3 linked regions of the Elephas maximus indicus genome follow. The protein of the gene in region 1 interacts with the protein of each later gene in a pairwise test. Links are inferred from orthologs where the notes say so. Each region holds a gene or a part of one and is shown on either strand. Other genes may lie near its edges. The genes, in order: DDI1, CYGB and KLHL42.

Region 1 (8,845 bases):
GCAGAAGGAAGAATGACGACCAATTTATTGGAAGTTGTAAGACAACAGATTTGAGTTCAAAATAAGAAACAAAGGATTTTACCTAAGACTTGTCCCTAAACATTATAGCTACCTCAGAAAGGGCAGGCCTTGTCACTAGATGAGTTTATACAGATGTTTCATGACAATATGAGACTGTTGTCAGGGAATTCAATTATAGGATTGAGATGAAGGCAGGATGGGTATTGTTGAACTGAATAGCATTTACGCTGTCTTTTAGTTGAAAGACTCTGATTTTTAGACTGGCTCGTATGTACCAGACGTCCTGATAGGCTACATGCTAAGAGTTTATTTGATATTGACCGGACTCATGTAATATGCAATTTGGAGTTTTGTTTGTTTGCTTATATGGACCTTAAAACTGAGTCCAGAAGAAGATATCAAGGGTTTACACATATTTTTTCTTGTAAAGAAATCCATGCATTCATTAGGTCAGTTCTCATCAATTCATAGGCATTTTGTTTATCTCTGGCTTTACTCTGAATTTTTTTCTTCATATTGGTAATTACATTGTCCGAATCAGAGTACTTCATTGGAAACAAAAGTAGAAAAGCACTCTGTCCATTTGGTCATTGTTAGCAGCTGTGCTGGGCATAAGCCCTGGTGCAAGGGTAGACCAGGTTAGGGAATGTGAACATAGGCTATACCTCTCAGGAAGAAGAAAACTGGGACATGAACTGAGAATGGCTGGAGGGGAACAGGTGTCTCTTTAGAAAGAAAGTGATTAGTCTCAGGAAGAAGTGGACCAAGAGAAAGATATTATTATAGGGAAGCTTTTTTTTTTTTAAGCCATAGAGAGTGCTTCCAGTGGCTATAGATCTTAGGAAAACAGCTGGAATGACTGAAAGGGTATTTGAGATGAAAAGATACAGTCTTAGTACTTGAAGGTGCCTTTTCTTCCCAAACAATTTACAGATGAGGAACCTGAGTTCTAAAATATGTGAAGTGATATGCCTAAGTAACATAGAACTAGTACTGGAGCCCTGGTAGCACAGTGGTTAAGAGCTCGGCTGCTAACCAAAAGGTCTGCAGTTTGAACCCACGCCCTGGCGGTACAGTGGTTAAGTGGTCAGCTGTTAATCTAAAGGTCAGTGGTTGGAGCCCGTCAGCCACTCTGCTGGAGAAAAGTGTGGCACTCTGCTTCCATAGGGATTACACCCTTAGGAACCATATAGGGCAGTTCTACCCTGTCCTGTAGAGTTGCTGTGAGTCAGAATTGACTCAATGGCAATGTGTTTGGTTTATTTGGTTTATCAGAACATATGTTTCATGTCTTTGAATCCACTGTTGTTTCTAATACCAGTCTTGATAAATTATGGCCCTGAAACATTTGCCCTGAGTCTGAAGACCTCAGGCAGCTGAACCTTTTCTCTCAGGTGTATTAACCACGGGTTGTAATTAAGCCTAGGCTCCTCCATTTCTCACTACCAGTAGTAATGGAGAGTAGCCCTGTTGGAATGGATCATGGAGGTGAACGAGGCATTAGAGATCTTCTCATTCAGAAGTTTTCAAATGTTATTTTAGCAGTTAAACTCTTTTTTCAAACCTCTTACATAACTGCTTAATATATAAAGTAGATTTTTTGAAAAAGGAGTTGGTCTAATATTGATCTAGTATGAGTATTGGGGCACTTGGGCCACTGCCTGCCTGCTGCACCCCATTTCCAACAGCATGCAACCGGCAGGTTCCCGAAAAGCACCATAATTTGGGAAAAAAAAAAAATCGAATTCAGTGCCTTCATTTTATAGCCAGGGTTTCTTCGTACGCAAGGGAAAGAGAAAATTATTTTAGGAGAAAAATCTGGAATATGGCAAAACTAGCTTGCAGGGTGGGCTGCAGTGAACTTGCTATAGAAATGACTGACTTCAGGGAAAGGAAAATATAAAATAGGAAGAAATGGGGCTTTATGCTGTCCAAATCAGAGTTACAAGTATTAACAACTCAAAAGTATAACTGACCCACCGTTTCTAATACCTTTCACACACACAAAAAAAAAAAAAAATCTGGGAAAACAGACGTGTTTCTCTGAATATAAACAATCATTAGAGGGAATATGAAATAGTTTTGCTTAGATGCCTTGTAGGGTCTGTAGCAATGGCTTTTTCCAGGAATTCTGCAAAATAGCAGCTGGTTTGGACAAGCCACCTTTTAATCTGCTGGGATAATGTCTCTAAAAGAAAAGGCTGGTTTTCCTTTTCATGGATTATCTGGAAATCAACTGGAGCCTCCAGAGCCTTCCCAGTATGAGGTTCCGTGACCTCTGGATAAGGGAAACGGAAGAAGGGCCAAGATAAAGCAAGTACGATTTACATAATTACAGGTCTCAGAACTTAGTCCAGAGGCCAGGTTTAGTTGTTACTGATGTTTTTAATGGTTACATTGCCACTGAGCTCATTTCTTATAATTTCTTGGGACCTGAGACAGCCTCAAGGTGGTGATACATTTACAACCTGCTTCAGTGCCTTTTCCGTCCGGAATCCGTGACTGATTTTTTAATAGGATCTGCTACTTCCTTGTCAGAAGACTCCTCATGCCCAGTATCACTTACCAGCTTAGCACATGGTGGTAACTCTCCCTCAGGAAGAAAGAAAGTCTGTGTGCCAGTGGTACCAATCACCAGCATGTTTTTCTTCAAGTCAATGGAACATTGGTGTCTTTTGAGCATATCTAGTCCTAGAAGCATGTCCATGGGCTGCTCCTCGAGTACAGAGAAAGAGCATTGTAAGAAATCACCTTCAATCTGAATCTGAGCTAGATGAATGCGGCCAATAATTCTCTGTGTGCCCACTCCTTTAGCAATCCCAGCCCATCGTCGGTCCACCAGCCTTATTATGTTACATCTCTCAGCACAAGCTCGGCTCATAATGGTCATCTGTGCGCCTGAGTCAACAAAAGCCTTCAAAGGATGCCCATTCACTTTGCAGTTAATATAAAGCATTACCACTTGTGCAAAACTCTCGGGAGCCTCTTCTATTGCTATATTCATGTTTTCCTCGATGTTCTGCTGCCGGATTTCTTCTTCTATTTTAGCCTGAGCTTCCAGATCAAATGGATCAGCAGAATAAAGGCGAAGCCTCTCTTGTTCTCTCAGAGCCTTCTCCCTTTGCTGCTCCATCAGGACCTGAGAAAAGGTCTCTAGGTTTCCACTGAGCAGAGCTTCTGCCAAGCGAGGGTTGCGTTCTTTCAGCAGGGACAGATCATGGGGATTGGAAAGCAGCATGCTTCGGATCAAGGCTGGGCTGTCCAGACCTTGAGAAGATACCATTTTCTCTCCGGAAGCCAAGCTTCGGGCCTGCTGGGCTGTTTGTGCACGTTGTTGCTGCTGCTGTTGCTGGTACTGCTGCTGGCGGGAGCTGGATGTTCCAGGCACAGCTATCCCACTTATATCTATTCGAGGCTGGTCTGGTGTTCGTCCTGGAGGCCGAGGTTCCACATTCTCCTTCTGAAGTAAGACTACAACATCACCATCTTTTAGGCCATAGGAACCTAGGGAACAGTGGTCATCAGCAAGGAGTCGCTCCATATAGATTATCTGGGTCTCATCAGTAGGGATGCCAGACTCAAGCTCACAGAGCACCCGGAAGTTATGAAGCTCAAAATCAGGGCTGACCTGGAGAGAGAAGGTTACCTCGGAGAGGTCCCTCCGCACACAGTACACAGTGATCAGCATGGCACGGGCCCGGGAGGGCCACGTCGACAGATGGCATTGGATCGTTCACTGGCTGACCGGTCTCCGTTGGTGAGCCACTGCTTCTCACGACTTGGCACTGCTGCTCAGGCTCCTTCACCTCTCCAAGAGGCACAGCCACTCACCAGCCTGGGGACCTCGTCCCAGCTTCAGTGCCTGCTGCTCAGGCCCATGGAGCCTTGGGGTAGCTTGTTGAGTTCCAAAGTTCATTTGTAGGTGTGCTCTTTGGAACTTAGAATGCCTATTCCCATAGACACAAAGTTGCTCAAGTCCGTTGGGTTCCAAGGCCAGCCCTTAAAAGCCAATTGAGGATATGCTATGGAAAAGATTATTTCAGCTCTTCAAAAACACTTTCACGTTCATTTAATTCTAAAACTTTTTTACGTTCTTTTCCTTATTCCCTGCATTGTTTCCAACAAAATAGATGTTACCTTATGTGCTTGATACGAAAGATAAGCCAGACTCGATGCCTGCCCTTGAGGATCTCACATCCCAGGGAGGGATTGATGGGTAAATGGGTAAACCAAATAATGGGGTAAGTGCTTTTACGAAGATGTGGTCATCTTGCTAAAGAAACCAGTAGATCAAAGTAATTTTCTCTCAAGAGGACATACTCAAATTGGAGGATGAAGATGACCATTTTCCAGGTGAAAAAGTGGTGAGCCTCACTCCAGACAAAAGGAAATGGGTGTATAAAAGCAAGAATTCATGGCAAGGCATGAATTCTTGTTATTTCCGGAGAAAGATGAGAAAAGTAATAGGAGGAATTTGTACATTGAATGGCAGGATATAAAGCAAGACCCAATTTATATGTGAATCCAAGGATTTACATGTCATCAGTAAGCAAGAATCCCCCCTGTATTTATAAAAGAGAAAGGAAAGCAAAATATTTGAAGACGGTACTTACAATTGAGTTTTTTTTTTTTTTTTAATTCATCTAAGGAAGACATTTCTAATGATATATGGAGAATCCAGGGTGGCAGAAGGCCCAGTTAAGGGGCTTTCTCAATAGTTCAAAAAGAGAGCTGTTGCTAAAGTCTGAAAAACTGAGGATGACTAAATTGAAGCTGTGGGGAAGGGAAATGTTTCCTAAGTAGAATGGACAGGATTTGTTGACACATTGGGTATGGGGAATGTAAAGGAAGCAAATTGTATGGATAAGAGAGGGTCTCTAAAATGGGATACTCGTTAGAAACAGTCACTAGGTGGTACGGTTAGTGTGCTTGGCTGCTAACCAAAAGGTTGGCAATTTGAGTCCACCCAGAGCTCCTCAGAAAAAAGACCTGGCGATCTACTTCCAAAAAATCAGCCTTTGGAAACCCTATGGAGCACAATTCTACTTTGACACACATGCGGTCCCGATGAGTCAGAATTGACCCAATGGCAACTCGTTTGGTTTTTGATTAGAAATAGGTGTGGTCTTGAGTGGGCAAGTGAGATGAACCTTTGTGGTGATCAATCTGACATTGATTCTGCAGTAAAATGAAAGGTGAATGCCACACTGGAGGCCAGATATGGTTCTCTCTTTGACCCTGGGGCACAGGGCTTCCCTTGTTCCTACCAGAGTAGACTCAGGGTAAATGGTGACTGGATGGAATTTCCTGAGTGCCACTTAATTTTCTCTACATTTCCTAAAGTGTTTATCCTGACTCAGTTTTCCCAAGTGTAATCACTTATGGAACACAAGCCAGTCAACATCCTCTGCCTCCTTGCCTTTCCTTATTTCAAATTTTGTCAGAAAGGATCTGTCGTCCCATATAGGAGAGCACTGTATCAGTTTAGGGGATTTTTTTTTTTTGCTCCTTTTTCTCACATGTTTGACATCTTAGATGGAAGAAGGTGTCTCACTCCTTGCTGTAATTGTCATACTTCCATATTCATATTCATTTATATTAGAAATGTTGAATGAGTGCCCAGTGTGTGTGAAGCATGCGCTAAGTGTACCAACATGAATAATGTACACACAGGCTGTGTCCTTAAAGGAGCTTATGGTGTAAAAGAGGAAAAGTACACACACACACTTGAAATATTAGGGGGTGAAAAAAACCACAGTAGAGGCCTGTACTGTGAAGGAGAAATTTATAATATCTGGAGAGCAAATGAACGAGATGGTGAGGGCTGTTGGACAGGGAAGGCTTCTTGAAAAAGCTAGGCTTAGAAAGATGCCAAGGAGTCAGCCAAGTGGGTCAGAGTTGGCGTGGAGAAACCCAAGAAACCTGCCAAGAAAAGTATGTATGGCCTGACTTTGAGCCTTTAACTGGAAAGGCAGCTCTTCATGATACGGGGGTTTTATACAACTTGGGGGAAGAAATCTAGCATTGTAATTTTCCTGAAGAAAATTGTAAATTATTTTAAAAAAAATTATTTATTTCCCACTATTTATAGAGATGAACGGCCCTTTGGCCCAATGATATTAAGTTATTAAATTTCTTGGCATCCTGATAAGTTCAGCAGACATCAGTAATGGTTTCTTCTGAGTTTGGAAGCAACTTTAATGTGAGCGATACCACATGTAAATCCCTGAGCTAGAGAATAGATGAGATGCCAGCGATACTTGGATTTAGTGCTACGTTTCCCTCCCCCCACCCCCCAGTAGTTTTGAACAGTTTGTTCTTAAAACCTTAATACTTAGGGAGATAATACAAGGGTGTTATTTTTTATTTTTTAAGTAGTGGATGAAATTAGTTTTATAGAATAATTTGGGGGCAAAACAAGAATTCAGGGTTCACATCAAAGTAACATCTTTTTTTCATTAATATTAGCATTGCTTTGTTACTGAACATAATGGAACTTTTTGCAATCTTTTTATTATCTTCTGGTAATTTTTCACTTTTGATGGCATTTTGCATCAATGTGCTTTTTTACTATTTTACTCTTAGAGCATAACATGGAAAGAAGAAAACCTATCTGACCAATTAACTGTCATCATTTCATAGATCACAGGGCGTCAGGACTGGGAGGCATCCTTCTCATCCTCAAGTCTTGTTGCGAAAGAGTCTGGAATCTGAAAAGATAAACACGGCTTCCTGGGGCTGTTGAGCGCTTCCCATTATGCGTTGTTTTCTCCTTTCATTTTACTCAGTACTAGGCATGGGGTCGCTATGAGTCAAAAATCGACTTGACGGCGCCTAACAACAACAACACTGGTGATTCAAATATCATATGTATAATTCTCTTACCTCAAAATTTTAATAAGGCATTTCTTCTGATTGTATAAAAAAAATTGGGGATTACTGGGCCATATACACTGAAACCTGTGAGAGCTGGAACTCAGCAGGGCTGCCTTGTTTTTCTGGGTCTTGCAAGTTTTCTGCCTTTGACAGGTTGCAGTCTTACCACTCTTCTAGTAATCATTTTAGTGGAAAATATTTGCGTTTTCCTCCTCTGACAGGTTTTTGCCTTACACAGGTTCTGGCTTTTGCAGGTTTTACTGTGTAAAGAAATATTCCTAATCATAAAATGTTGTTGTACCATAAATCCCTATTGCACAGATTGCTGAGAAAGGAGTGATCTGAATTATCCGGGTGTATTAGCCTTTTTTTTTTTTTTATTAGTCTAAGGAACTCAAGATTATTGTGACTTTTCTTAAGGAGTTCTTTGTGAAGTATATTCTCTTATTTTCCTTCCTTGGTAAGTACAATATAGAAACATAATTGAATCTTTCTTTGAAAAGTGAGACTCCTCAGGGTCTCGGGCTATCATTCAGAAAACCAATTCTCATTGTATAGCATAAATGCCGAGAAAACAGAAGAGAAGGCTCTGATCTCATGCTGGCCAGGGAAATAACCTCGAAGTAATTTTTTTGGAATTAATCCATAATAATACCTTTTATAATTTGTCTCCTTATAAAGCTTAATGTGGCAAAAAATCCAGATAATTGATGGTTCTACTTATTAGTCAGTTAAAGCACTGTCTGTTGCTTTTCAAAGCAAAATAAGTCTTTTCTATGAAAAGCTGGAGAAGCCGATAAATGTCATTGTGTAACATATACAATAATTAAACTACGTTAAGAACTACATTAGCTTGCTATGTGCCTGGTATTTCTTTTAAAATAAGGTGTAATTGAGATTTATTAAGATAGTTAAATCAACACTTGAGATTTTAATTTTAACTTAGGAAAGAGGCAGAATTTTTAAAGTCGTATGCTTAGGTTAAACAACTAATTTTCTTACTCTTCAATTATTTGCTTTGTAACAATGCAATAAATTATACCAGAGTTGCCATGAATGGATAGCATTTATTTCTATAGATAGTTAATTATTTCTACAGATAGTTAATTATTTAACAGGTACATTAAAAATAGTGTAATGAAAGCTTAGTCTTAAAACCTTAGTAAGTTTTTTAGTATGTTTCCAAATTTTCCCATATGAGAAGGTTTAGTATTGCTTGTCTTTGAAGCTTAAACATCATAAGAGCTGTTAAATAAATATATAAATAAGCAGATATGTAAATATATAAATGAGCATATTTTTGCTTTATTTTATAGATTATTAGTTCTAACATGTCATGACAAAGATGCATATTCAGGTGCATATTGAATGTTGAAAATAGTATAACTTTTGGATTATGTACTTTCCAAGTCAACATATACACGTGTGTATGTGTGCATTTACTTATTTTTCAAAAAGTTAATGTTATAATTTTATGCCTGTCTTAGTTACCTAGTGCTGCTGTAACAGAAATACTGCAAGTGGATAGCTTTAACAAAGAGAAATTTATTCCCTTGCAGCCTAAGACGCTTGAAGTCCGTGTTCAGGGTGCCAGCTCCAGGGGAAGGTTCTCTCTTTCTCTGTCAGCTATGGGGGAAGGTCCTTGTCATCAGTCTCCCCCTGATCTAGGAGCTTTTCATCGCAGGAACCCTGGATCCAAAGGATGTGCTCTGCTCCCAGTGCTTCTTTCTTGGTGCTATGAGGTCCCGCAGTCTCTCTACTTGCTTCTCTTTTATATATCAAAAGAGATTGACTCAAAACACAACCTAACCTTGTAGATTGAGTCCTGCCTTATTAGCAAAACTGCTGATAATCCCACGTTATTAACATAATAGAGGTAGAATTTACAACACAAAGGAAAATCACATCAGATGACAAAATGGTGGATGATCACACAATACTAGGAATC
Region 2 (11,057 bases), on another chromosome or scaffold:
GGCCAGGACTCTGATCTGGGAGCTGGAGCAGATGCAGAGAGCATGTGGCCTGGGCTGTCCCTTCGGGTGACAAAGCTGCTCCTGGCAGGGGAGATTCGGACAGTGATCTGGGCTCAGTCCATGTGGAGACCAGAGAGGCCCCCCTCAGACGCTGAGTATGACCCTGGACAAACCACTTCACAACCCATCTGGCTGCAAAAGACAGGAGTCCCTTCAGCTCCAAACTTCACAAATGAGGCAACGCGTCTGAAAATGCACGGGATTGTTCTGGAGATGCATTGTAAAAGCTATAAAACCAAACCCACTGCCGTCAAATCGATTCCGACTCATAGCAACCTTATAGGACAGAATAGAGCTGCCCCATAGCGTTTCCAAGGCTATAATCTTTATAGAAGCAGACTGCCACAGCTTTCTCCTATGGAGCAGCTGGTGGGTTTGAACCACTGACCTTTTGATTAGCAGCTCAGCACTTAACCACTGCACCACGGGGGCTCCTTTAGAAAATAATAGTAACAATACAAAAAAAAAAAAAAAAAACCTGTTGCCATCAAGTAAATTCCGATTCATAGCAACCCTATAGGGCGGGGTAGAACTGCCCCATAGGGTTTCCAAGGAGCGGCTGGTGGATTCACCCTGCCGACCTTTTGGTTAGCAGTCGAGCTCTTAACCATAAATAAAAACATTTATTGAGCATGTACTGTATGATCTCATTAATCCTTGCAATACCCTTCTGGGGGTGGCACTGTCTTTCCCCACCATATTGTTGTTACGTGCCTCCAGTCAGTTCCGACTCATAGCGACCCTATGCACAACAGAACAAAACATGCCCAGTCCTGCGCCATCCTCACAATCATTGTTATGCTTGAGCTCATTGTTGCAGCCACTGTGTCAATCCATCTCATTGAGGGTCTTCCTCTTTTCCGTTGACCCTGTACTTTACCAAGCATGATGTCCTTCTCCAGGGAGTCTCCCCATCTTATGAATTAGGAAATTGTCACCCAAGGTGGCCCAGTGAAGTAGGCGGTGGCACTAGGAACGACCCAGAGAGCCCCTGCTTTACAAGATGCTGCGCCAGGGGGATCATTGCCTGGGACCCAGGCAGATCTCCTGCCTCCACGCCCAGCACCGCATATATGGGCTTGAGCAACGACAACCTGGGAGTCCCAGCCCAGGGCCCCTCACTGGGCCATGGGAAGCTGGGAGCCACGAGCTCTGCCCCTTCTCTCCCCTGTGCCTCTACTCCTGACCCCCCAGCCCAGCCTGTGCTGTCAGGGAGAAGCTTGGGGAGAAGCCAGTCTTGGGGAGTTTCTCAGCTCCCAGAGGCATCTGGACTTCCAAGAGAGCCAGAAATAGGCTTGTCTGAGTGTGAGGGGGAAGGTGTCAGAGTTACAACTGGGAGGGGAGCCTTCACAGAGCATGGGTGTTCCCTCACTGCCCCCTCCTCCCAGGCAGGGAGGTGTGGGGTCTGACTCAGACCCCTAAGGCAACTCCTCCACCTCTACCACCTTGGCTGCCTCCTCCTTGGCCTGCGGGCTGATGAGAGCTGAGGGCACTGGCCAGGCCTTGGAGGAGTGAGGGGTCAGAAGGTGTGTCTCAGGCTCTAAAGGGGCCTTGCCCTCCTGGATGTAAGGGTGATGAGGGAGTTGTAGCAAGACAGGGGGATGAGGACAGGAGCAAAGGATCTGGGGAGGGGAGACCCCCCCCACCAGAAGCTCATCAACCATGCTGTCAACCCTCCCACCCTCCCCACTGGCCAGGCCCTGGGCAGCCAACAGGAGACAGAAGAGATGGAAGGTGGCAGGAGGCATTGAAATGGTCCACACAGGGGTGGGGTCAGGTGAAGTACATGGGGGCGGGGGTGTCAGCAGGCCCTTTCTAATTAAGACTTGCCAGCTCTCTTCCGCTTTCTGGGATTAATGCAGGACCTCTGAGCACTTTGGTAAACACCCTCCAGCCCAGGCCCAGTCTCCCCTAAGAGTCGGGAGTGGGGAACTCAAAGGGGGTGTAGAGAGAGACAGGAAACCTTACCAAGGACTTCACTATCCAGATACAGCCCCGCCCTCAGCGTGCAGTCCCTTCTCCTGCCTCCCACCCCCTGCTCCACTCCTGGGGGCCTTCAGTGGTACCTCAGGAGATGGATCTTGGACCTGTCCCCTATCTGTCTTCCCTGGCAAATGGCAGGAGTTGAGACAAATGATCCCCAGAGGTCCTTTGGGCCTCTTCACTCTGGGGCCCTTGCCTTGCACAGGGCCCCCCACGAAGGCAGAGTGGTGTGTCTGCAACTCTGCTCCCCACTGCGTGTGGGGTGCTCACACGTGCGGGGCTGCATCTCTGGTGTCTGAAGGCTCCACAATCTGAATCCCCCTCTCGATCCCCACTCCCAGCCTAGCTGGGCTCCTGGGCCTGGGAGGACTGCGTGGGTTGCCCACATGGCTTCCCCCTTCCTCAGGGGCCTTCCTGAGCTCTTTTGAAGTGCTTCTCACTCCTTTTCCCCTAAAACTGTGTCTAAGTTGGAATCAGGGCATATCAGTATGGAGCTGGGTAGGTCCCAGGCCGCTTGGGGGAGGTGGAAAGAAGAGAGTGAGTGAGGGGGAGAAAGAGGAGCTGAAGTGGGGCCAGGGGAAACAGGGTATGCATTTCAGCAAGGCTTCCCCCTTATTTTCAAAGAATAAGACTGCCCTGCTCTGCCCCATATTTGAGGCTCCCCCTGCCAAGGACAGGGTGTGAGGGCGACCATGGGTGGGAGTCTCTCCGCCTGCACCCCAGGGACTAGCCCGTGTGGGAAGAAGGCACTGGTGTGTAGCTATTGTGCTTGGCTAGCTTGTGGGGCTTGGTGACATTAAGTATATAGGAATGGGGCGTGCGGCTGATGTGTAGGTGTGTGAAAAACCGTGTCACCCTATGTTTTTGGGTCCCTGAGGGGAGTGTGGTGCCTGAATGACCCCTAAGCCCAAGATAGGGTCTTTCCTCCCTGGGTAGGGGTTTTGGGCTGGGGCTCTGTCTCCTTCCACCCAACTCAGCGGGACTGTACCTGGAGGGTCTGGGGGCTTCTCCACTCACCTGTGCCTGGCCTCCAGCTCCCTGCTGGCCCACCCGCTCCAGGCTAAAAGGAGCAGCTGGGAGCCCTGGACCTCAAGATCTACTCCTGATTTCTGCTCCCTTGATCTTTGCTCTACTCTTCCACGAGGCTTCCAAAAGGGGCTGAGCTGGAGAGAGGGAGCTGCTCCCCTTTGCCCCTGTTCCTGGCTGAGACTCAGTATTCTCATCTCTAAAATGGGAGACCCGGCTAGTCCCATCTGAAGCAAGAGTAATATGTGTATGGGTGACGGCTGGGCTGGGTGGTCGGGTGAGGAGGTCGCTGGAGAGGAGGCACTGGCTGCCTGGGCAGGAGTTCTAAGACCCAGGAGAGAAGGATAGAGATGCTCTCCTTCCGCGTCCAGTTCCTCGTTCCTGGGGAGCCCCGCGCCCTGGAGCCAAGAAGGGCTCAGCCAGCACTTCACCCACCCCAAGGCAACCCACGCTGCCCGAGCCTCACCGGCCTGGCCTGGCCCCAATCGCAGCTGGGGAAGTGGCGATGGAGCTCGGACCCGGGCCGAGTCCGTCCGTGCCCGGAGCCGCTGCCGCGCTCCCTCTCCCGGGCCCGCCAGGGCCAGGGCGACACCTACCTCACCAGGATGGCCACCCCCACGTCCTCGCAGTTGGCATACAGCCGGGCCCACGTCGCCTGCACCGCCTTCCTCTCTGCCTCGGACAGCTCCTCGCTCCGCTCCCTGCGCTCGATCTCCATCTCGCCCGGCACTTTCTCCATGAGCAGCTGCAAGCCCAGCCCGGCTGGCTCGGCGGCGGCGGGGCTGGGGGCGCGGGGCCGGCTGCGTGCGCGGCGGGCGGGCGAGGGGTAGAGCGCGCCGGAGGGCGGGAGCGTGTCTGTCTGTGTCTGTGCGCGCTGGGCGTGAGTGAGTGAGTGAATGTGTGTGTGCATGTGTGTGTGTGTGTGTGTGTGTGTGTGTGTGTGCAGGGTATATGTGCGGGGGGCGGGGGACCGCGAGCGGGGGGCGGGGATGTGGTCTGGTCTGCAGGAAAAAGCCTTAAAAAAATAAAGACGCTCCAAATCCCCAACCGCGTGTCGCCAGCCAATTCGGGCAAGGTGAAGGCTGGGCGGGATGGGGGCGTCGCTGCTGCCGCCCGCCCTCCAGGCCGCCGCGGAGTTGGCCGCTGGGTAGGTGTGGCCGGTCTGCCGAGGGTCTCCGGAGCAGGGGGCGTTCACGAGGCGCGGGGAGGCGCCGAGCGCACAGAAGTGAGCCCCGGGGCGGGTGTGCACGCTTCACAAGGCCGGGCACTGATTCAAAGTCAAACACTGCCAGGCGTTCGCGCCGGGTCGCCCACCGCCGGCCCGAGGGACGCACACGAGCCTCCCCGGCAGCGGCCGCGGTCGGGGCTTGGCTCGCCCTCGTTCCGGGCCTCTCCGGATCCAGCGCTGGGCCCACGCGGACCCCGGGCCCCTCAGGGTTTAGGACTACTGCTGCAGGGATGGGGACGGCTGTCGGAAATGGACCACACCTCGGAACCTGGCCCTCAGAGGCCTGCGCCCCCTTTCCTTCCGACTAACACAACCCCCCACACCGCGGTGCTGGTGGACAGAGTCCGAAGGAAAGGCAGCCGGCCGCAAAGAGCAGCAGGGGGTCGAGAAGTCTTGGGGGAGGCGTCATTGCTGGAGATATCTCACCACCACCACCAAGGCCCCATCAGGGAAGGTCCTGGTGGGCCCTGCCCGGGGAGCAGGACAGATAAGGTGTGGGTGAGACTGGGCCAGAGTCCCCGGGTGCCCACCTTGTGAAAAGTCACTAGTGCTGGGGACTGCCAGGTCCCACTTCTGGCTGCAGGGTCTGAAATGGATGCCACAGCACTGGGCTGTGCCGTCCTGCCTGAGGCACCCTGGTGACCCTTGTTTTTCGCAAGACTGTATTCCGCAGCCTAAGCATTGCAAGGGGCTGGCTGCTCCTTTCAGTTCTGGTTGTGTTTATTTTTAAAATCCTGTTTCCAGGTAGAGAACTGACAGGTGCAGTAAGCACGGGCCCAGGCCTTTCGAAGCTCAGGGTCTGCTTACCTTAGTGAGAGTCCGGGTAGGAGGCCTCCAACCCCAGGAGAGGGGAGGAAAACCCAGTGCCTTCCGAGGAGTCTGGGAGGGGGTGGAGGAGAGGGGTGACTCAGGTTCTCAGATGGCTCTCAAACCCATGCCCTCCTCTCGGGCTGGACAGCCATGGCCATCTCAGGCCCCATGTTCCAGGCGGTGCAGGTCTGATAGTTTCCCAAAGCTAGCATGTTGGCCTTCAAGAGGATGTGGAAAGAAAGTAGAGCTCTTTCTATTCATTTTTAGCTCATCCTTTACAAATTTTATGTATGTTTTATGATATAACATATTTGCACAGTAGGAAAGTATATAACTTATAATACCAAACCCACTGCTGTTGAGTCAATTCTGACTCCTAGTGATCCTATGGAATCCCTGATGGCGTAGTGGTTGAGTGCTACCGGGACTAACCAAAAGGTCAGCAGTTCAAATCCGCCAGGCGCTCCTTGGAAACTCTATGGTACAGTTCTATTCTGTCCTATAGGGTTGCTATGAGTCGGAATCGACTCGACTGCGATAGCTTAGTGACCCCACAGGACAGAGTAGAACTGCCCCGTAGGGTTTCCAAGGCTGTAAATCTTTACAGAAGCAGACTGCCACATCTCCCGCACAGTGGCTGGTAGTTTCGAATCACTGACCTTTCAGTTAGTGGCTCAGCTCTTTAACCACAGTGCCACCAGGGCTCCTGATAAGTGGATGCATATATCTGTTTTGTGAGTGTACTTAAATTCCACCTTTTACTGAAAAGATGTGTCATCAGAACAGTTCAGAGAGGACTGTCCAGAAGATGAAACTGGACCCTGAGCTAGACGCCTGGGGCCCCTTGCTCTCTCACGTCTTTCTGGCCTTATCTAATATTCTCTTCCTCCTCCTCCCTGTCCCGAGGGCTCCACTGGGACACCAGTGTTCCCCCACCGGTCCCCCACACCACTCAGCTTCCAGTCCTTTCCTCCCCAGCCCTTGCAGATCCTTCTAAGGCCATCCTTCCTGGTTCACCTGTAAGTTAATGTGCCCCCAGCTCTTCTCGGGAGCTTTGCCTGATGCTTGCAACTCCCCGAGTGCTCTGCAGGTACCTTTAATAGCACCTCTGTCACTCTTGTAGGCATTTGTTGAACTTGACAGTGCAGTTGTCTAGACTGTTGGCCCCTGGAGGGCAAGCCCTGTGTCATTTGTATTAACATTCAGAATAGGTGCTCAGTGTCTGTTGAACGCATCGACTGAGGTGTGTTTACTCTGCCACTCAGGGAGGACCCTGGGCCCAGTGAGGTTAATCAGGCCTCACAAGGTCTGGTCGGCTGACCTGGCTAATCAGCTTGAGTTTCCTAATCCATCACCACCAGGAACCTTGGCTAGAGAGCTCGTCAGAGCTGGTGGGGGCCATTTTGGGCCCTCACGGAGGCCTTCTTCTGCAGGCAGGGTTCTGGCCTGGGGGTGGGGCATGTGCACCACCCTCTTCCTGCTGAGCACCTTGGCCATGCTCTGGCGCCGCCGATTCGCCAACCGGGTCCAACCGTGAGAAACTGCCGGGCCCATGGGCTGGGGCAGGGGTGGGGAGGAAGGGCTGGGCTGGGCTAGAGCCAGCCTGAAGGTGGCCAGGGGCTGCCTGGGCTCCAGGGAGGTTGGGAGGGTACTGGCCAGGAATCCCTGAGAGGCTCACTCTCAGAATGGAGACAGGTGGAGGTGCGGAGACTGGCGAACCAGGAGAACCGGAGCCTCTCTGTGTCTCAGCTTCTCTCTTAGTCCTGGAATAGGAAGAGGGGGCGTGGGGTTCTTGGAAGGCACTAGGGCCGAGGCCTCCAGTCCCACTGCAGAAGGTGGTGAGGTCTTGGAGAAGTAGGAGAGAAGGCGTGGGTGCTGGCACAGCTCTGCCTGCTGTTCTTCCTCCCACAGAGAGCCCAGCGGTGTGGACGGGGCAGTGGTGGGCAGCGGCTTGGAAGCTGACCTCCAGGCCTCAGGCAGGTAAGGCAGGGGAGAGGTGGGTGGGGGAGTAAGGCTACTGCAAAGGAAGCTATGGTGGCCCTGCTTGGGGTGCACACGTGGTGTATGTGTTCATGTGTGTGTGAGTATGTGTGTGCGTGTGTGCATGTGTGTGTGTACTGTATGCTGTCCAGGAGGTACAGGCCCCTTGCCCCAGTCACCCAGGTCCCTGTCTGCCTGGTAGGAAGGCTGGCTGTTTTCTCAAACTGGGAGCCCCAGCCCCCACTGCTGGACCAAAGCTGCTCTCCTTGCTTGTCTGATCTGAGCCGCGCACCTTCTGCTGGAAGGGGCAGGGGCGGCAGACAGAGGGACAAGGCAGATGCCTCTCTGCCTGGCTTTGCTTGCCTTCCCCTTCCCCTCCCCCATCGCCTCGACCTGCCCAGCCTCAGCGGCTCCACTGCCTGATCCTCCAGCCGGATTCGCTGTCCAGTCCCCAATGGAAGGCACAGGAGGAGCATGACATCATCAGCATCAAGCGCCATTGGCTGGTTGGCCCCTGCCGGCAGGACCAGGTCTCCTGTGGCCGGAAAATTAACTCTTCCCTGGGATGAGGCCATGCGGCCTTTGGGGGTGAAGTCTGGGCAACTTACAGGCTTTTCTGTCCCTGGGTGACCAGTGTTTTCTTGGATAGGGGCTCCTGTGGCCAAGAAATCACTGAAAACCCAACTCATATGCATTAAATAGGTGTCAGATGTTTTTTATGGCCTGTAGACCCCCGGAGAGTGGATGTCTGTCTGAAGAGTGACGTCACCTTATAAGCAAGTGTCTACTAGGCCCTGGGCATTTCTTCTTTACAGAAACAGAACAAAAATGATTACAGGCCCCCCTCAGGCTGCAGGGCCCCTTGAAGGAGGGTGTCCCCACACAGGAGCTCCAATGGCTGGGATGGTCGGCCCGCACGTCTGTGAACACCCGTGTCTCTTCCTGGGTGGGGAACCCGCCACAATGTATCCCTTAAATCTAAGGCCAAACCCGTTGCCATGGAGTCGTTTCCGACTCACAGCGACCCTATAGGATAGATAGAACCGCTCCACAGAGTTTCCAGGGAGCAGCTGGTGGATTCCAACCAAGCTTTTGGTTAGCAGCCAAGCTCTTAACCATCATGCCACCAGGGCTCCAATGTATCCCTTCCCAGAAAGCCCAGTGCCATCGAGTCGATTCCTTTAGAGGTACAGAAACTGGCCAACCAGGAGAACTTGAGTCTGTCTCCATATCTCAGCTCCTCTCTTCTCGGTCCTGGGATTCTCCAGTTACCGAGTGTCAAAAAGCCCCAGGGAGAAGCCCTGAACATGTACGAGAAACAGAGGCAATTCAGGAATACCCTTCCTCTCCACGGTGCTGTCGTTGTTAGTTGCCATCTAGTGGATTCTGACTCCTGACGACCCCATAAGTGCAGAGTAGAACAGCTCCAGTGGGTTTTCAAGGCTGTGACATACCCGGAAGCAGATCACCAGGTCTTTCGAGGCACCTCTGGGTGGGCTGAAATCTCCAACCGTTTAGCTAGTAGTCAAGTGCTTAACCATGTGCACCACTCAGGGACTCCAAGACTATCATAACAGTGCCTAACTGAGGCTAGTAATTAAATGGGCTGACACCTATAAAATAACCAACATTGGCTCATGGACAGGAGGCACTTGAATGTCAAGTTCCGCCTGGAGCTGGGCAGCCAGAGTCCAAATCCTGACTCCCCTCTAACAAGTGACTTTCGGCAAATAATGTAGCCTTGTTATATATATATGGAGCCCTGGTGGCACAGTGGTTAAGAGCTATGGCTGCTAACCAAAAGGTCGGCAGTTCGACTCCACCAGCCGCTCCTTGGAAGCCCTATAGGGCCATTCTACTCTGTGCTATAGGGTCGCTGTGAGTTAGGATTGACTTATAATGAATTTATTATATATATGTTAAACGGGGTTAATAATATAGCCTTATTATATGTATAGTAAATGGGATTAGTAGTGTAGCCTTATTATATATAGAGCCCTGGTGGTGCAGTGGTTAAGTGATACAGCTGCTAACCAAGAGGTCGGCAGTTCAAATCCACCAACTACTCCTTGGAAACCTTGAGGGGCAGCTCTACTCAGCCCTATAGGGTCGCTATGGGTTGGAATTGACTTGACAGCAACTTTTTGTTTGTTTGATTTTGTATGTGTTAAATGGGGTTAATAACAGAGTGGTTGTGAGGATTAAATGGGACATCATCCTTGTTAAGCACGTGCCACAGCATCTGTCAGTTTGTAGTGCTGTGGTGGCTTGCGTGTTGCTGTAATCCTGGAAGCTATTTCAAATACCAGCAGGGTCACCCACGGTAGACAGATTTCAGCAGAGCTTCCAGACTAAGACAGACTAGGAAGAAAGACCTGGAGGTCTAGTTATGAAAAAAAGATCAGCCAGTGAAAACTTTATGGATATAGCAGCAGAACATTGTCTGATAGAATGCTGGAAGACGAGCTGCTCAGGTTGGCGACGACAGGCTCAAACATAGCAACAAGTGTGAGGATGGCACAGGACTGGGCATTTAATTCTGCTACACACACAGTCGCTATGAGTGGGAACCAAACGGATGGCACCTACCAACTGCTCAGTAAATGTGTACTATTCTGGCTGCAGTTTTATACGTCATTAGTGTTTTATTCAGCTCTTTTACTTCATCATGTCTTCCTTTAGCTTCAGCTACTCTACATTCAAGAGCAAGTTTCTTTTCTGTCTTATTAATAACCTTTGCTTTCTTCACGTATGATGTCCTTGATGTCATCCCATAACTCGTCTGGTCTTCTGTCCATTAGTGTTCAATGTATCAAACCTGTACTTGAAATGGTCTCTAAATTCAGGTGGGATATGCTCAAGGTCGTACTTTGACTCACATGGACTTGTTTTAATTTTCTTCAGCTTCAACTTGAACTTACATAGGAGCAACAATGGTCTGTTCCACAGCTGGCCCCTGGTGTTGTTCTGACAGATGATATTGAGCTTCTCCATTGTCTCTTTCCATGGATGTAGTCGATTTGATTCCTGTGTATTCTGTCTGATGACGTTCATGTGTAGAGTTGCTGTTCATGTTGCTGAAAAAAAGAGATTTGCAATGAATAAGTTGTTGGTTTTACAAAATTCTAACATGCAATCTCCCATGTCCTTTCTATCACCAAGCCCATATTTTTTAACTACTGATCCTTCTCTGTTTCTAACTTTTGAATTCCAATCACCAGTAATTATAAATGCATCTTGGTTGTCTGACCAATTTCTGACTGCAGAAGTCAGTAAAAATCTCCAAGTTCTTCATCTTTGGCATTAGTGGTTGGTGTGTAAATTTGAATGAGGGATATCATTGCTGATGTCAGGTTTATCTTGGCTGAAAACAGAGAATACCAGAAAGATATTTACCTGTGTTTTATTGACTATGCAAAGGCATTTGACTGTGTGGATCATAACAAATTATGGATAACATTGTGAAGAGTGGGAATTCCAGAACACTTAATTGTGCTCATGCGGAGCCTTTACATAGATCAGGAGGCAGTTGTTCAAACGGGACAAGGGGATACCGCATGATTTAAAATCAGAAAAGGTGTGCATCAGGGTTGCATCCTTTCATCATACTTATTCAATCTGTATGCTGAGCAAATAATCCGAGAAGCTGGATTATATGAAGAAGAACAGGGCATCAAGATTGGAGGAAGACTCATTAACAACCTGCGTTATGTAGATGACACAACCTTGTTTGCTGAAAGTGAAGAGGACTCGAAGCACTTACTAAAGAAGATCAAAGACCACAGCCTTTAGTATGGATTACACCTCAACATAAAGAAAGCAAAAATCCTCACAACTGGACCAATGAGCAACATCACGATAAACGGAGAAAAGACTGAAGTTGTTAAGGATTTCCCTTTACTTAGATACACAATCAATGCCCCTTTACTTAGATACACAATCAATTTTAAATCAAGCAGCAGTCAGGAAA
Region 3 (10,213 bases), on another chromosome or scaffold:
ATGTGAATTAAGGTAGACGTGAAATACTGTGTAACTGCAGGCTAGAACCTGCCCTTCTAATCCAAGGTTCCAAGCTTTCTCCAGGGTGGGACTTGTACTGGATGTATTACCCAGAAACAATCTCATTCTAGGTTCCACTTTTACTTGTCTCTTCACCTTAATCCAACTTGAAACCTCTTGAGAGCAGGAGCCATGACATGTTTCTGAACACTTAGCAGTGACTAGACAAATGTTGGACATAAAGGCTGTGGTGAAGCCTATGCACATAAAATTTTAAAAAGCAGTATAGTACCCTCAAATACCTGTGCTCCCCTTCTTGAATAGGAAATAATTTTTAAAAAGGAAAAAATAATCTGCAAGAAGACGGTCACTGCAAGTCTACAAGCTAAAAATTGTAAACAATATAAATGGTTACATCTATTCAATAGATATTTACATATTGGTTCCTCAAATTATTACACACCCTTGGGCAATCTGCTTAACTTTTGTGTCTCAATTCCTGCCTCTGTAAAATGAGAACCTGCCTAATATAATCCTTGTGAAGAATAAGCAAGATGAATACATGCAGAGTAAAGTGGCCATCTAAGATGCATCAATTGTTCTCAACCCACCTGGAGTGAAGAATAATGAAGAACACCAAAGACACAAGGAAAATATGAGCCTAAGAGCCAGAAAGGGCCACATAAACCACAGACTCCATCAGCCTGAGACCAGAAGAACTAGATGGTGGCCAACTACCACCAATGACTGCCCTGACAGAAAACACAACAGAGAATCCCTGATGGAGCAGGAGAAAAGTGGGATGCAGAACTCAAATTAACATAAAAAGACCAGACTTAATGGTCTGAGACTGGAGAGACCCCAGAGGACATGGCCCCTGGACTCTCTAGAACTAAAACCATTCCTAAAGCCAACTCTTCAGACAAAGATTAGACTGGACTATGAGACATAAAATGATACTGGTGAGGAGTGCGCTCCTTAGCTCAAGTAGACACATGAGACTATGTAGCCAGCTCCTGTTCTGAGGCAAGAGGAGAAGGCAGAGGGGGACAGGAGCTGGCTGAATGGACAGAGAAAACACAGGGTGGAGAGGAAAAGTATGCTGTCACACTGTAGGGAGAGCAACTAGGGTCACATAACAACGTGTGTTTAAGTTTTTTTATGAGAAACTGACTTGAATTGTGAACTTTCACTTAAAGTACAATAAAAACAAATACATGCAAAGTACCAACAACAGTACCTAGACAGAATAAGTGCTAAATTAAATATTAGCTATTATTTTTCAGCTACTAAAAATGTGCTGTGTTAGTTATGAACCTGGGGATGGCAGATTTATCATAGAGCTGGAGATGGGTGTGATAAAGGTGACAGAGAATACCCATCCCTTTCATCATCGGAAAAAAGGAATACTTTGCAAAATCAATTTTACATTAAAGTAGAAATAAAGGCTGTTCCCCAAATAATCTCCGACCTGGAAGAATCCTCAATCCAGTAAATACGTGCTTAAAAAATAACAAAAGTAAACCAGTTGCTGTCAGTCAGTTCTAACTCATGGCAACCCCACGTCAGTCAGAGTAGAACTGTGCTCCATATGGTTTTCACGGCTGTGACCTTTCAGAAGCAGATCATCAGATATTTCCTCCCAGGTGTCTCAGGGTGGGTTCGAACCACCAACTTTTTAGTTAGTAGCTGAGCACTTAAGCATTGGTGCCACCCAGGAACTCCAAATACATATAAAGGCCTCCCATTCATGTTAAGATTTTCTTTGCCTGGTTCTGTGAGTTCACTTGCTCAGCACTTCAGGGTAGGGATCATGGTTGGGCCTGAGATGTAAACGGGTGGTGAACCAGAAGAAATGGTATTCCTATCCCTTCTTGGGTTACACGATTTCCTCCCATTTCTGAATGGCTCTGAACCATTTTATGCTCTACCATCTTTCTTTCCCACGACCTCTTTCTTTATCTGCTCTTTACTCTAATTTTTCCTATTCCTGTCCTGGTTCCTTTCCCAACTCACCATCACCACCACCCCCCCTCCACACTCCTTCTTTTTTTCCTCAAGTTACCCATATTCATGGCAGGAGGGATATGCAGGATGGGAAGGGAGAAGGTTGGGATGGATGGAAACATTCCATTTCTGTAGGTGACCATTGTAAGGCTCGATCTTTGGGTCAATGGCGATGGCTATCTGAGAAGGAAGTAAGATGCAAAAAAGGATAAAATTATAAAAGTCAATCCTATATAGCAAATAAAAATAAAATTCTAAAGATTATCTCCTGATCATGGATGGACTGACGCCCAAAGGGGAGGCTTCTAAGTCATTAATAAGGAAAAAAAAAAAAAAAACCCTCAAAGCCTGCCTTAAAGGTTACTGGCCAGTGTGTCACTACAAACACAATCCTAAAAAAGTAAAAAAAAAAAAAAAAAGGCAAAATTAAAGAGCAGCTCTCTTATAAAGTATCCTAGGAAATCTAGGAAATCACATCATCTTTTTTTCCACTAGGATAGAGGCAAAGAAAGCAGTTTTGCCTAAAGGCGCAATACCTACAAGAAAACTACTCAGCTGGTTTACTTTACTGGGGCCTTTTCTTCCTTGCAAGTTCTTAATTCATTGGAAACTTGGACAGAATCAAGGCCAGAAACAGATGTCATTTCCACCTCAGCACCATCTCCTGTGACTGCCCAATAAACATTAGTGGAATGAATTAACGAACAATGAATGAATGGAGAAAAAAAGCAACACTACTGGAGTGCTTACCTCTTCTGGTTCATGGAGGCCACCTGGAGCCACTCATTGGTGCTAGGGTTGTAGGAATGCGCAGCAGAGATCTCCTGGCATGTGATCCTGTACCCGCCCACTATGAAGAGGTAGTTGTCCAAGATGGCAGACCCGTACCCCCTGACATTCACCAGGTCAGGAGGAAGGTTGTTGGCCAGCGGGAACCAACGTTCAGTCATCTCCTCGTACCTGAGCATGGATGGGGGCTCACCCTGGTACGGATGCGGGGCCAGGGGTCCCCCCAAAAAGTCCCCCAGGGCCACAAGGACCGGAGTCCCAGTCATCCGGCCATCCCTCAGCCTCTGCTTGAGGCTGATGTCCCCTGGGGTTTGAGAAGGAGACCCCAGAAGGTGGAACTGGGGTTTGCACAGCACCTCGTGGAAGTGGATAACCATGAAGCGCAGGCAGGCCTCCTGCAGGTCAGGCAGCCCGTACACCTGGGCCAGGCGATACATCTCCAGGCAGTTGTTGAGCCGTACTTGGGACAACAGAAGCTGCAGCAGGGACGTGACCTGCAGGAAGGAGGCTGCTTCCACCAGCTCGGACAGCAGGCTTACCTCGTCCATGTCCTCGTCCTCCTCTACCCCCCCGCCCTTCTCCCCCCGTGGGCCCAGGAGCCAGCCTTCGCGAGCCCCGCCGGCGTTGATGAAATCCAGCACCAGTCGCAGGCCCAGGGCGCTAAGGCCGCGCAGCTGCTGCACCTCGGGGCCGCCGGCCTCCTGGCTCAGGGCCTCGCGCATGCCGGAGCGGTAGAGGGCGCGGAAGTAGTCGCTCTGCTCGATGAGCTTCCTTTTGCTCACCGGGTAGCAGCGGTCCTCCAGGCGGATCTGCACCACCTCCTCGGCGGACATGGTTGGGAGGCCGGGGGCTGAGGGTCGTCCCGCCAGATCTGCCGCTCTCCTCCCCGCCCCCACGCACTCGCGGGGTTCCGGGTTGGGCGCGCAGAGGGATGGCGGCCCGGGAGGAGGGAGGCGAAGGGTCGCCCGCTCCCGCGCTCGCCCGGCCTAACTGGGTCACTGCGAAGCCCCCCAGGGAGTCCCTCCTCAGTGCCCGGAGGCTACGATTCAGACTTTCTCCCCCAAAGCAGCGGTCCTGTCCTTGTCACCCGTAGCGACACAAAAGGCCCGGCTCCCGCCCGCCAGGCATCGGAAGGCGGCCGCAATCCTCGCTCCGAGGCTCCCGGGCGGTGTCAGGCAGGGAGGATATCCCAACCCCCAGCCTGCAGCCTCCTCCCACGCTCCCTTCTCACTTCCGCCCGCAGGACCCCTGCAAGCCGCTAGACCTGCGAACTGGATCCGGCTTTCGGAGAGAGCTGGAAGGCTGCAGGCCTTCAGCGCCGGGGTGCTGACACGCAGGCGGCAGGATCCTGGAGGGCGCGCGTCCCCGCAGCCTCCTCGGCACGCCTGGTGCGCACGGGCTCTGCCCCCTGCCAGTGTCAGGAATGATGCTTTTGAGTGTTAAAGGAGGAAAGATGAACCCAGTTTGTTTTTTTTTCTTTCTTCCCTTCTACTTTATGGGGGGGACTGGGAAGAGAAAGAAGCGATGTGGCAGGAAAAAGATGAAGGGGTGGGATCCATGGGGTCAAAGACATAATGTTTGGGGTCCATCATCTCGCCCAGTTTGGCATCGTGTCCCAGAAGGCTCAGGCACACAGGTCATCTCTCGACATGTCAGTGGCACCTAGAGCTGATGCTTAGGTATGATCATCATTTAGCAGCCATCTTGCAGAAGGCCCAGGCAGATGGCTGCGAGTTCTGGAGGGCTCAGTTCATGGGGTCCACAGTGCACTGGATGATCTGTGTTTCTGGGACCCTATTATCTTCTTCGTGATATTAAGAAAAAAAGACTGAAGTACAATTCAACTAAATAAAGTTAGGTCACACGTGCCTTCTTTTTTTTTTTATCATAGATTATTTCTACCAAATATTTTCTAATAGTCATTGCTTTTCCTATTTCAGCTTGGTTGGGCTAGCCATTATGAAATATTATCTTTGGGTATCAGGCCTGGCCATTTTTACTCATATTTACCTACAGAGGTGGCTTTTCTTATCACCAGTTGTCTCACCCTGGCCCCCAAAGTCTGAGGACTACTTAAGGGGAAACCACCTATTCCCCATCTTCTCTCACTGAACAAATAAAAAGTTCACCCCAATTAATAAAAAGGACCCTTGTGTTGCTCATGAGCTATGAATCCCTGAAAAGGAGGGGGTGAGGGAAAAAATATCGTTGTTACCTTTGGGTAGAAGGAAAGGAGAAGGGTGTGCCTACTCTATCTTACAAAGAACCCTTGACCAAGATTTGAGAACCTGCTATAATAGTTCTCAATGTGAGAAAAATAGTATTGGACATTGTTTAAATTTCTTCTTGAAGGACAAGCTGTTAAACAATATCTTCTTCCAAGTCTACTTCCCCTACTACAAACAGAAGATAACCCCTACGAGGCAAATTAACATTTGATGTCAGGAAGAGGAAAGCTCACTTGGAGCTGTTGATAACCCACACCACCCCACCCCACTTGTTTCATAGTGGATCTTTCCTCGTATTAGAATAAGTATCACGTTAGGTGAGGTGCTGTCACCTCACTTTTTCTTAAGTTTTACAATATGATTTTCACTTCCATGATTAGGAATTACCAGCGGAAACCAAGCTGTTTCAATTCTTCACTGAAAAACCAAAACTAGGACCAAATTATAAACCTATTTTTCCTTAGCCAAAACCTCTTGCATTGCATATTCTGTTGATTGATATTTTCTGCCATTAATACTTATCAATTGTATTTTGGCAGAATCACTGAGCTAGAAAGAAGTTTAAATACCACCCAATCTAGTCCCTCATTTTACAGATGAGGAACTAGAAGAGACACTGTGACCTGCCTGAGTTCACAAGATAAACAGGCAGTGCCTGCCTTGGAACCTCCATTTTGCCAGTAGGTCCAGAGCTCCATCAGCCACAGAATTAGCTGCACAGCCAGAGCACAGAAAAGGATTAGAAATGTATCACGTATTAAGGCAGTAATAATTTTACTAATTTTGTTAGGTGTAATAATGGCATGACATGGTATTAAATTTAAAAAAATCTTGCAACTTAAAGGTGCATATCAGTGAAATAATCTCTGGGATTTAATTTAAAATAAAGCAAAAAAGTGGTGGAGGTAGAGAAACAAAATTGACAAGATATTGATAATACTGAAGCTGGGTGATGGGTTCTTGGGCATCATTAAACTATTCTCTTATATATGCCTTTGTGTACAAATGAAGTTTTTTCATCATAATAAAAAAGTATCTCAGAATTATTTTGCAAAAGGGCCATAAATTTTTTTTTTTAATTACAAGCTTCAACTTGACAAGTTGTTCAGTCATATCTTCTTCAAAAGTATATTTTCCCTATTCCAAAAAGAATGCACATCCTACAATGCTGATTTTGTTAGGAACAGGGGGATGGTAAAATAATAGAGGAAGAAAGCAAAGTCATATTAGTAAAACATGAAATTCTTTAGCATACTATTTGGTTATATTTGTGCTTCTTATCATGTAATTTAGCTGCCTTATAGTGAGGTATTGACATCCATTATTTTCATTATAATACACCATGAACAAGGAAACTGACATTTAAAAGACAGAAAAGAATTCTAGTAGATCCTGGCCCACATGGGAAAAATGAAGGAAACAGTTTTCTTAGATTCTTTTGAAAACATCCCGCTCTTCACCTTGTTTCACCTGCCCTTTAAATCATACTGATAAAAACACCATTCTCACAACTACTTCTCACTCTTCTGTTCTCAATGAGGGTGTAGTTGAGACATTCTAAGGGGGTGAGTGACCATGCATTTCGCAACTGCTTTGAAATTGCAAAGGACCAAGTGCAATATTAGGCAGTAGACTTGGGGCTTTTGTGGGGAGGGGAGGTCCCCCTCCACCCTCACCATAGCTAAGAGGCTTGGGCTTATTTGGGCCTCAATTCAGCAGGTCAGCCAAGAAGAACAGACTCTTAGTCTCTCCTCTGTCCCTTTAGAATCTTTCACCAATGGATGCTTTTGTCTCCCAACTGTCATAGATATGCCTCTGACCGGTATTTTCTTGTCTTTGTAAAACAGACACCATGCCCCCCCCCAAAAAAAAAAAATCACACTCCAAGAATGATCTGCATTACAAAGGCACTTCAACTACAATAATAGCACTGGGGCAAGATAAGCCTGGACAAGGAATTTGGGCTGTTAGCCTGACAATATAGGGACCAGATCCTGAAAGCTTTTTGGTTCCTGAAAAGATAATAATGTCATTTAGGACTGGGGCCATCTTAAAAAATGATAGTATCTTATTAACTCACACAGTAAGTTTCTGTTAAGCTAGAAATGCAATGTTAAATCAATATAAACTTCTGTATTCAAAAAGATCTAAAATATTATTTCCAGGCTTCATGAAAATATTGCTTGTATATAACTGAACTCCAAACGTCTGTCAGTTTGTCTTATTATGGGGACTTGTGTGTTGCTGTGATGCTAGAAGCTATGCCACCAGTGTTCAAATACCAGCAGGGTCATGCATGGAGGACAGGTTTCAGCTGAGCTTCCAGACTAAGACAGAAGAAGGACCCAGCAGTCTATTTTTGAAAAGAAGTAGCCAGTGGAAACCTTATGAATAGCAACAGAACATTGATACAGTGCCATAAGATGAGCCCTTCAGGTTGGAAAAAAAAACGGCACTCAAAATACGACTGGGGAAGAGCTGTCTCCTCAAAGTGTCGACCTTAATGACATGAGTGGAGTCAAGCTTTCCAGACTTTCATTTGCTGATGTGGCACAACTCAAAATGAAAAGAAACAGCTGCAAACATCCGTTAATAATCAGAATGCAGAATGTATGAAGTATAAATCTAGAAAAACTGGAAATTGTCAAAAACGAAACGGAACACATAAACATCAATATTCTAGGCATTTGTGAGCTGAAATGGACTGGAATTGGCCACTTTGAATCAGATAATTATATGGTCTACTGTGCCGGGAATGACAAATTGAAGAGGAATAGCTTTGCATTCATCATCTAAAATAACATTTCAAGATATATCCTGAAGTACAATGCTGGCAGTGATAGGATAATATCCATACGCCTACAAGAAAGGCCAGTTAATACTACTATTATTCAAATTTATGCATCAACCACAAAGGCTAAAGATGAAATTAAAATTTTTTACCAACTTCTGCAGTCTGAAATAGATGGAACATGCAATCAGGATACATTGATAATTACTGATGATTGGAACACAAAAGTTGGAAACAGAAGGATCGGTAGTTGGAAAATATGGCCTTGGTGATAGAAACAGTGTCAGAGATCACACGATAGAATTTTGCAAAACTAACGACTTCTTTGTTGCAAATACATTTTTTCAATGACATAAATGGCAACTATACATGTGGACCTTGCCCGATGAAATACACAGGAATCAAATCGACTACATTTGTGGAAAAAGACGATGGAAAAGCTCAATGTCATCAGTCAGAACAAGGCCAGTGGCTGACTGCAAAACAGACCATCAATTGCTCATATGCAAGTTCAAGCTGAAACTGAAGAAAATTAGAAGTCCATGAGAACCAACGTATGACCTTGAGTATATTCCACCTAAATTTAGAGACCATCTCAAGAATAGATTTGATACACTGAACACTAATGACCAAAGACCAGATGAGTTGTGGAATGACATCAAGGACATCACACACAAAGAAGGCAAGAGGTCATTAAAAAGATAGGAAATAAAGACCAAAACGGATGTCAGAGGAGACTCTAAAACTTTGCACTTGAACATCGAGTATCTAAAGCAAAGGAAGAAATGATGAAGTGAAAGAGCTGAACAGGAGATTTCAAAAGGCAGCTTGAGAAGACAAAGTATTATAATGACATGGAGATAGAAAACCATAAGGGAAGAACATGCTCGGCATTTTTCAAGCTGAAAGAACTGAAGAAAAAATTCAAGCCTCGAGTTGCAAAAGTGAAGGATTCTATGGGCAAAATACTGAAAGATGCAGGAAGCATCAAAAGAAGATGGAAGGAATACACAGAGTCACTGTACCAACATTCGATCATTTCAGGAGGTAGCATCTGATCAAGAACCAATGCTACTGAACGAAGAAGTCCAAGCTGCACTGAAAGCATTGGAGAAAAACGGCTCCAGGAATTGATGGAATACCAGTTGAGATCTTTCCACAAACGGAAGCAGTGCTGAAAGTGCCCACTTGTCTATGCCAAGAAATTTGGAAGACAGCTACCTGGCCAACCAATTGGAAGAGATTCATATTTATGACTATTCCAAAGAAAGGTAATCCAACTGACTGTGGAAATTATCGAACAATATCATTAACATTACATGAAAGCAAAATTTTGCTGCAGATCTTTCAAAAGCAGTTGTAGCAGTACATTGACAGGGAACTGCCAGAAATTCAAACCGAATTCAGAAGAGGACATGGAACAAGGATATCATTGCTGATGTCAGAAGCATCATGGCTGAAAGCAGAGAACACCAGAAAGATGTTTCCCTGTGTTTTATTGACTATGCAAAGGCATTCAACTGTGTGGATCATAATAAATTATGGATAACATTGGGGAGAATAGGAATTCCAGAACACTTAACTGTGCTCATGAGGAACCTGTACATAGATCAAGAAGCAGTCCTTTGAACAGAATAAGGTGATACTGTGTGGTTTAAAGTCAGGAAAGGTGTGCATCAAGGTTGTATCCTTTCACCATACTTATTTAATCTGTATGCTGAGCAACTAATCCAAGAAGCTGGAGTATATGAAGAACATCAGGATTGGAAGAAGACTCATTAACAACCTGTGTTAAGGAGATGACACCACCTTGCTTGCTGAAAGTGAAGAGGACTTGAACACTTACTGATGAAGATCAGAGACTACAGCCTTCAATATGGATTACATCTCAACACAAAGAAAACAAAAGTCCTCAACAATTGGACCAATAAGCAACATCATGATAAATGGAGAAAATACTGAAGCTGTGAAGGATTTCATCTTACCTGGATCCACAATCAACACCCATGGAAACAGCAGTCAAGAAATCAAATGATGCATTGCATTGGGCGAATCTGCTGCAAAAGACCTCTTTAAAGTGTTAAAAAGCAAAAAACGTCACTTTAAGGACTAAGGTGCGCCTGCCCCAAGCCATGGTGCTTTCAATCACTTTATATGCATGCGAAAGCTGGACAATGAATAAGGAAGACCAGATATAGAACTGATGACTTTGAATTGTGGTGTTGGTGAATAATATTGAATGCATCATGGACTACAAAAAGAATGAACAAATCTGTCTTGGAAGACATATAGCCAGAATACTCCTTAGAAGACAGGATGGCAAGACTTCATCTCACATACTTTGACATGTTATCAGGAGGGGTCGGTCCCTGGAGAAGGACAACATACTTGGTAGAGG

The links.
Region 2: the proteins of DDI1 (region 1) and CYGB interact in binary tests that used the Homo sapiens proteins (3 or more experiments, as listed by UniProt). The two-hybrid records come from large-scale screens. The link is inferred for Elephas maximus indicus from reciprocal best matches to the Homo sapiens genes DDI1 and CYGB.
Region 3: the proteins of DDI1 (region 1) and KLHL42 interact in binary tests that used the Homo sapiens proteins (3 or more experiments, as listed by UniProt). The two-hybrid records come from large-scale screens. The link is inferred for Elephas maximus indicus from reciprocal best matches to the Homo sapiens genes DDI1 and KLHL42.

The regions. Positions count from the first base shown.
Region 1 is NC_064825.1:16,531,886-16,540,730, forward strand, and holds DDI1 (protein DDI1 homolog 1), read right to left. Parts: upstream 3,710-8,845; coding exon 2,495-3,709; downstream 1-2,494. UniProt on the Homo sapiens protein: Probable aspartic protease. Seems to act as a proteasomal shuttle which links the proteasome and replication fork proteins like RTF2. Required, with DDI2, for cellular survival following replication stress.
Region 2 is NC_064837.1:66,754,691-66,765,747, forward strand, and holds the start of CYGB (cytoglobin), read right to left. Parts: upstream 4,005-11,057; 5' UTR 3,980-4,004; coding exon 3,666-3,979; intron 1-3,665. Other genes in the region: photoreceptor disk component PRCD, read left to right, coding at 6,567-6,640, 7,019-7,087. UniProt on the Homo sapiens protein: Probable multifunctional globin with a hexacoordinated heme iron required for the catalysis of various reactions depending on redox condition of the cell as well as oxygen availability.
Region 3 is NC_064822.1:86,558,215-86,568,427, reverse strand, and holds the start of KLHL42 (kelch-like protein 42), read right to left. Parts: upstream 4,169-10,213; 5' UTR 3,630-4,168; coding exon 2,758-3,629; intron 1-2,757. UniProt on the Homo sapiens protein: Substrate-specific adapter of a BCR (BTB-CUL3-RBX1) E3 ubiquitin-protein ligase complex required for mitotic progression and cytokinesis. The BCR(KLHL42) E3 ubiquitin ligase complex mediates the ubiquitination and subsequent degradation of KATNA1.